Oryctolagus cuniculus: one gene and its partner. The protein of the gene in region 1 interacts with the protein of each later gene in a biochemical or structural test. Links are inferred from orthologs where the notes say so. Each region holds a gene or a part of one and is shown in the gene's direction. Other genes may lie near its edges. The genes, in order: TNFRSF8 and TNFSF8.

Region 1 (3,813 bases):
CCCACACTGTCCGCGTCACGCCCTAGTGTACCTGCACTGTCCGCGTCACGCCCTAGTGTACCTCTGCACCCCAAAACAGAGAGCAGCGGCTCGGGCCCCAGCCCACGGCCTCCAATGGGGCCTGAGGGCCCCTGGCTCTGGGGTCTCCACCAGAGGGGCTGGGTGAGAAATGGCACCCAGAGGTGGGGGGGAAGGGAGACAGGAGGTGAGACGTGTCATGCCCCCACTCGGAACCCTCCAGCGGGCCCCAGCTCCCTGCTTGGTGAGGTCCAGGAGTCTTAGTCGCGTGTCTGAGGCTGCCCACGAGCCGACCCGCAAGCCTCACTGGGGATGGCAGTGCTGATGGGGATGCCCTCTGCCATGGGGGCAGGGGAGGCCTGCAGGTCCTCTGGACCCCAGGACACAGGGACCCCTGGTCCTCTTGATCACCCCCAGAAGAGCGCCCCCAAGAGGACCAAATGCAGACCTGGCCATGGGGCCCCTTCTTGGCCTCCTTCACCCCTGGAGGACACAGCTCCCCTGGATCTGGGAGCTCTGGTAGGGCAGGAAGCTCCCAGAGGGCGGGCAGCCCTGTGGCCGAGGCAGAGCCAGCAGGGGCAGGACTGCCGGAGGTGACGAGGCCGGAGGCCCCTGCTTTGGCTGCTTCTGCCCAGTCGCACCCCTGCTTGGCGCCCCTGCCCGCTGCGCTGCCCCTCAGCTCCCCTCTTCTGCTGGTTTGTCCTCTGAGTCCTGTCTCACCTCCTGTCTCCCTCCCCCCCCACCTCTGGGTGCCATTTCTCACCCAGCCCCTCTGGTGGAGACCCCAGAGCCAGGGGCCCTCAGGCCCCAATGGAGGCCGTGGGCTGGGGCCCGAGCCGCTGCTCTCTGTTTTGGGGTGCAGAGGGTACCTGGCCCGTGCTTGCCCCCTCCCCTCACCCCAGCCTGCCCTCCAGTTCTCACTGCTATTCTGAACACTTCTCTCTTTCCTGGGGGTGCTGCAAGCCGAAGAAGGGCCAGCATTGTGCAACAGGGCGAGGGGCGGGGTCCCCGAATCTGAGGATGTGACCAGAGCACCCCACAAGGGAGGGGTCCCTGAGCTCCTGGCCTGCCACTCCCCGGTTCTCCCCCTGGTGGCAGCTGGGTGCTGGGGGCCAGAGGCGGCTGACCTGGCTAAGGTCAGGCATCCCCACTGCCCAGATCCTGGGCACTTAACTCCCCTGAGTCCCTGTGACCCCTCGAAGAAAAGGCCGCCCTGGAAGCCCCCGTGATGGCTGTGGTGGGGACCACAAGGAACTGCACCTCTGATGAGCGGAGGGAGACCCACCGGCACCCACTGTGCATGGCAGGCCGGGCGTGCAGCCCCGGGGGAGATGGGCTTCAGCCAAAAGCCCTGAGATGTGTGCCCAAAGCGAGGCTGTGTGCCCCCTGCTGGGGTGGCCTGGGCTGAGCTGGCTCCCAGGACAGGATGCCAGGATGGCGCGGCCACTCCAGCTGTCCACTGGAGCAGAAGAGGTGGCTGGATGGGGTGGGGGTCTCTCGGGGTTTCTCCTGACTGCCTGGGACCTTAGCCAGGTCAGTGGGCCTCTGTGGCCTTAGGGTCTCACCATCCAGGGGGACAACGGTGGCCTCCTGGCCTTGCAGGAGCATGGAAGCTTGGGGCAGGGTGGGAAGGGCCTGGTGCATGCTCGCGCCTTCCCCGTTGCCTTCTCCGGAGCCACGTTCTCCTCCTTCTTCCTGGCCCCCCACCCTGGGAGTGTGAGGAACACCTCAGGCAACCTTCTTGGGTACCAAGTGGGTCAGGTGTTACCTCCTCAGCACACAGGGCCCTGGGAGGATAGTGGGGCTCGCTATGCACCAGAGAGGCTGTGCCGTCTGCCTGAAGTCACACAGCGAGAACGGCAGGAGTGAGGCCCGGCCCCTTCTCTGCCTCTTTGCTCTCCTCCCGGGGGTGCAGGTCTCCCCATCTCGCCCATCTCTTTGTCTTGCAGAGAAAATCTATATCATGAAGGCCGACACGGTGATCGTGGGGACTGTGAAGGCCGAGGTGCCCGAGGGCTGGGGCGTGGCAGGGCCCACAGAGCCCCAGTCGGAGGAGCTGGAGGTGGACCATGCTCCCCACTACCCGGAGCAGGAGACAGAACCTCCCCTGGGCAGCTGTGGAGATGTCACGTTCTCAGTGGAGGAGGAAGGGAAGGAGGACCCCCTGCCCAGCAGCGCCTCTGGAAAGTGAGGCCCACCCTGGGCTGGGCCTGAGAGGGCAGCTGGATGTCCCCGGGAGGCCAGGGAGGCACTGGCGACACCGAGCTGGGGTCTGGAGTCCCTGTGGCCTGATCGGAGGTTCTAGCGTCCTGTGGATCTGTGCGGGAGGGGTGCTGGTGGTGGTGGTCTCTGCTCCTGTCTCCCACTTGGTGACTGTACAGCCAGAGCCTAGGGTGCTGGGGCCTGGACAGGAGACCCTTGCAGGGAGCTAGCTCCCAGTGGTGATTTTGCTGGGCCACAGATCGATGGCCGAGACAGGGCCCCTGCTTTCTCTGCTGCTGGGGGCACCAATTCCAGAGCCTTGGCACCAGACACTCGCCACGAGAGTCAGTGCCCACCGAGGGAGAGTCGGGAAGGCCGGCTCACTCCCTGCCTCCACCCCCTCCTCTCCTGTGGCCTTGCTGCCTTGCCACCAGCCCCTCGTCCCTGCAAACGTGGACCCCGCAGGCACAGAGCCAGTGCCCCTGGTTCCTCCCGAGTCAAAGGGAAGTTGCGGGATGGGGCAACATTGCTGGCACCATCTGGGCTCAGCCTGGTCCCCAGCCCTGCTCCTGCCCGCTCTCCCTGTTCCTTGCTCCATGGTGGGCCCAGCTCAGCTCGCTGGTCCCTGAATGTCCCCAGCCACCCCCGCAGCCACCCCTGCAGCAGGAAGCATCTTGGATCCAGATGTCTGCGGCCCCTCAGCAGCTGCAGGGCCCCGCCCCTGAGCCCCCGCCTGCTGGCCATGCTCACAAGGGGCAGCCTCGTTTGCCAGGGACTTCCTCCTGCCACCGAGATGGGGAACTGCAGGCCCTTCCTGGGGTCCCTGGCTGCTCTGTGGGTACCATCTGCCCTGCCCCGGAAATGGAGAAGCATCTCCCTCCATCTGCTACGCTTGAAATCCACTGCACCAGCCCCGCCGTCTGCCGCCACTGCTGGGTGCCCTCGGGGTGCGCTGTTGGCCAGCACCCGCCTCCCAGCCGTTCGTCCTGCCTCCTTGTGCACGTCGGGACCTTGCACGCGCTGGCTCGGCCTGGACTCTGGGACTGTGCATTTCACGCTAAGGAGCAAGGCTGCCCTTGGCTTCCAGGCTGCAGCCCCCCCCCCCCCCCCCGAGTACAGATGGGAGGCCCACAACCAGATCTGCAGCCTCGGGGGCGGGGCGTCCAGGCAGCCTGGGTTCTCCTGGACTTGCCCGCGGGCCAGGCCCGGGAAAGCCGCCGTGACTCACCTCTGCTTGCTCTCTGCAGGAAGTTGGGGCTGGGCCAGGCGTCACGAGGGCCGTTTCTGAACTCGCTCTGATGTTTTGGGGAAAGTTGGAGAGGCCGGGCGGGGCGTGGCCAGAGGTGGTGGTACTGGGACCTGGACTCTGGCCAGTGGGGGGGGGGGGGGCGGACGCTGTCTATTCAGGTGCCCCCATGGGGGAGGAGTGGATGAGGTCTTCCCCCCCCCCCAGCTGGGGCCGTGAGGAGTGCGGGACTCCACGCACCTGCCAAGCAGGGCTTCCCGGTGGAAGGACCCTGACCCACGTTTGGGAGAAATGATGCGCTCCCTCACCTGGTGGCTCTGCACACAACTTCTCAGAAGTCCTGACAG
Region 2 (3,358 bases), on another chromosome or scaffold:
CTTTTCTTAGCCCCACTCACTTTTGTTGCCTACCTGTCCTCAAAAGGAACTGTGTCTCCTACTTCCCACACTTCTCTCTATTCAACTACCTACCAGTTTCTGCCAAGCATACAGCGCCTTCCCCTAGTGCCACAGAAGCAGGCTCTTAATCTCTGCCTCTCTGCAGTTATTCACAGGGGAACTGCAAAATTGCCTTGTCCCCAGATTGACAGCTTAATGAACATGTTGGCACAGGGCCTATTTGCATACTTCAGTATGCTTCAGGTAAGAGGCTCCTTATAAATGAAACAATAAGAAACACTGCAAAAGAATGAGATATGGAGATGGCCAAGATTCTCTGAATAGCAACTCTGCTCATTTTAAAAATTCAATTTTGCAGTTGGATTAGTTCTCACTCTTCAAATGAATTGCAAGAAGGTTGAAAGAGAAAGTATAGAAGCAATTAAAACTAGCATACCCGTTTCCCAGCTCTGAAAGGCACCCTTACCAGTCAGTGCTAATTTTCATTTGCTAAGACTCAGAGACTTGGCTTCCAGCACACACACATAGATTTGCAGGGTCCAATTCTCTGCTTTTCTATAAATCCCAGATGGCAGGAGTCCCTTAATGTGTACGTGAGAGGCCTACACAGTTGTTAAAGGCTACATTCAAAGATCCACACAAGAACAGTTCAAGAATAGTGTAATGTGAAAGTTAGTGGAGAGTCCTCTGAACACCTTGATGTCTAACTTGGTTCTTAGTTGCACAATATTGAATTTGCTATCTCTGATGCTCTGTGCATTGCCTACTTAATAGTAGTTTCCCACCAAATTTTCTTCATGATAAATGAACATGATAGTCCAGACCTTGTGAAAAATACTCATAGAGTTCAGGATCTTATAGTCTGTAAAAGGAAAGATAATACTGACAATAATAGCACAATAATATTATGATAATACTTAAGTAGGAAGCCATTCTATAAGAGGTAGCTATATAGTCATGTTCTGTGACCCTCTAGCTTTGAGTATCAGAGTAAAGAAAGACAGGTGATTTTCTACCCATGCCTTAAATAATAGAAGACCCTGAAAGGATTAATATGAAAGCAATTCAATTGGTTTGAAGAATAGGCACATTATAAGAAATATGGATCTAGAATGAGGCACCTTGAATAAAAAGAGGTTTTCAACCTAAACCTGCAATTTTCTCAATAATTATTTTTCTTATATTCCCAGTGTCCAAGCATCTCAACAGCACCAGGTTGTCTTGGAACAAAGATGGCATTGTCCATGGAGTCACATACCATGACGGGAAGCTGGTGATCCAGTTCCCAGGTTGGTACTTCATCATTTGCCAACTGCAGTTTCTTGTGCAATGTTCAAACCATTCAGTGGACCTGAAGTTGGAGCTTCTCGTCAACAAAGAGGTCAAAAGAGAAGCCCTGGTGACAGTGTGTGAATCTGGACTGCCAACCAGAGAGATATACCAGAATCTCTCTCAATTCTTGTTGGATTACTTGCAGGTCAATGCCACCATATCAGTGATGGTAGACAAATTCCAGTATGTGGATACCAACACCTTTCCTCTTGAAAATGTGCTGTCTATCTTCTTATATAGCAGTTAAGAGCAAACAGTTCTCTTGGCCTTCAGGAAGAAAACAACTCTCTACCATACAGTATTTCATCTACCCAAATACTTGGGCAAACAAAACTTTTAGACAAACTCTGAAACTGCATGTTAAATTGCACATTTCTCCTTCTGTCTCTTGGGAAGATACAACTCTAGGGTTAAAAAGAGTTTTGAGTCAAGAATCTTTCAGATAGAAGGCAGGAAAGGAATGTGGTTGGTAGACAGAGCCCCACCTGGGAAGCAGAGGGAATGGCTATATGGCCTGCCCAACCACTAATCCACTGGATGACCTTGAGCCAATCCTTTCTCTCACTTGAACTCAGGATCCACGGGAGGCTGGGTATGAATCTCTCCAAAGTCTCCTCCATCTCATCAAGCTAAGCTTGAAGGCAGGGTTCTAGAAGCACTGAACTACAGGAAGGCACCCATACCAGTATAAAACCAATGGTACCAGGAGCATCTGGCTGCCTATCAACTCGACAGAATGAGACCATGGGCATATATTCAGGGTGCCCTGAATAATGGTGGGAATTGCAGGATCTGCAACACAAGCTAACCCTCACGTGGGTATTTAGAAAACCATCTGACAAGATCTGACCCCATGCCAGTTAAGAATGACAATAAGTCAACAGCAGACAGCTTTTGCTTCCTGCCGGGAAAGTGCCATGCATTCAGCAAGCATTCCATCTGTGTGTCATGGTCAAGGTGATGCCGTCAGTCAGGGAACAGCTGTTGCCATCTCCTGAATGGTGCATTTCTGTTCGCTGCCTCCAACACCCCTTAGGAAACCAGTTCTGTGGAGGAGGGCTTTTGTGTTCCCATAAAACTGTCGATAGACAATGATGACCCTGAGAATGATGAGAAGGACTTATGAACAAGAGCAGCCTCCTCTCCTCAAGAAAGTAGTTGTGAGTCTTCTCCAGCTGCATCCAACTCGACATCTCTGTGTCATCATGGCAGGAGCCCCTCATTTGCTGCAGGATAGTGACAAGGCATCCGAGTTAAAGGGTAAGCCCCTGAGGTTAGGCATCAAAAGGAAAAGACGAATTCTCGACTGCTATTCCAAATAATGCAGCAAAAATTGCATTTTCATCAAGAAGAAAGAATAGAAATTCAGCAGTGTTAGAGAAATGCTGGCAAAGATTTAAAGGCAAAACCACCAGTTGTGGTATGGATGAGAGGGATGTGGCAAAGCAAAGATGGATAAGGGAAAACTTTTAAGACATTTGCTGAGCAACATGCTACATCAGGCTCCTCCTAGATCTCCTCTCTGAAAGATTCAGTGAAGTCTATGTGTCTCTTCATCTTTTCCTGAGAGTAGATTCTTTGGGAAGAGCAGGCATTGAAAGAGAAGCTGATTCAGCAAGCCTACTGGTTAGCAGGCCAAAGGGAGGACTCAAACTTGGAGAGCAAGGGGACTTCTGCATTTGAATAACACACCAACTGTGTAGACAAATGAGATACCTGAGCCAACTCCTGCATTATGGAAAATGTATAGACAACCTAAGTGTGTGTAAACTTTTGCAGATGTGCTAATAATATCTTGTATTCTAACTTGAGAAAGGTGCTGTTTTCACTGTTCACCAACCATTCTCTGAACAGAGGGACTCACTTTTGTACTAGGAGTGTTCCTAAACTTGGTGTCTATCAAGCAATGTTCATAAAGCCAGCATGCAAGGGCACAAGAGGCATGTCATTTAAAAGAATAACAGCAGGGACAGGCATTTGGCCTAGCAGTTAAAAATACAGTCAG

Evidence for each region.
Region 2: the proteins of TNFRSF8 (region 1) and TNFSF8 form a complex in vitro, tested with the Homo sapiens proteins (2 studies listed by BioGRID and IntAct). The link is inferred for Oryctolagus cuniculus from reciprocal best matches to the Homo sapiens genes TNFRSF8 and TNFSF8.

Annotation. Positions count from the first base shown.
Region 1 is NC_091438.1:156,379,525-156,383,337, reverse strand, and holds part of TNFRSF8 (tumor necrosis factor receptor superfamily member 8), read left to right. Parts: intron 1-1,967; coding exon 1,968-2,209; 3' UTR 2,210-3,813. UniProt on the Homo sapiens protein: Receptor for TNFSF8/CD30L. May play a role in the regulation of cellular growth and transformation of activated lymphoblasts. Regulates gene expression through activation of NF-kappa-B.
Region 2 is NC_091432.1:218,371,902-218,375,259, reverse strand, and holds part of TNFSF8 (tumor necrosis factor ligand superfamily member 8), read left to right. Parts: intron 1-1,211; coding exon 1,212-1,600; 3' UTR 1,601-3,358.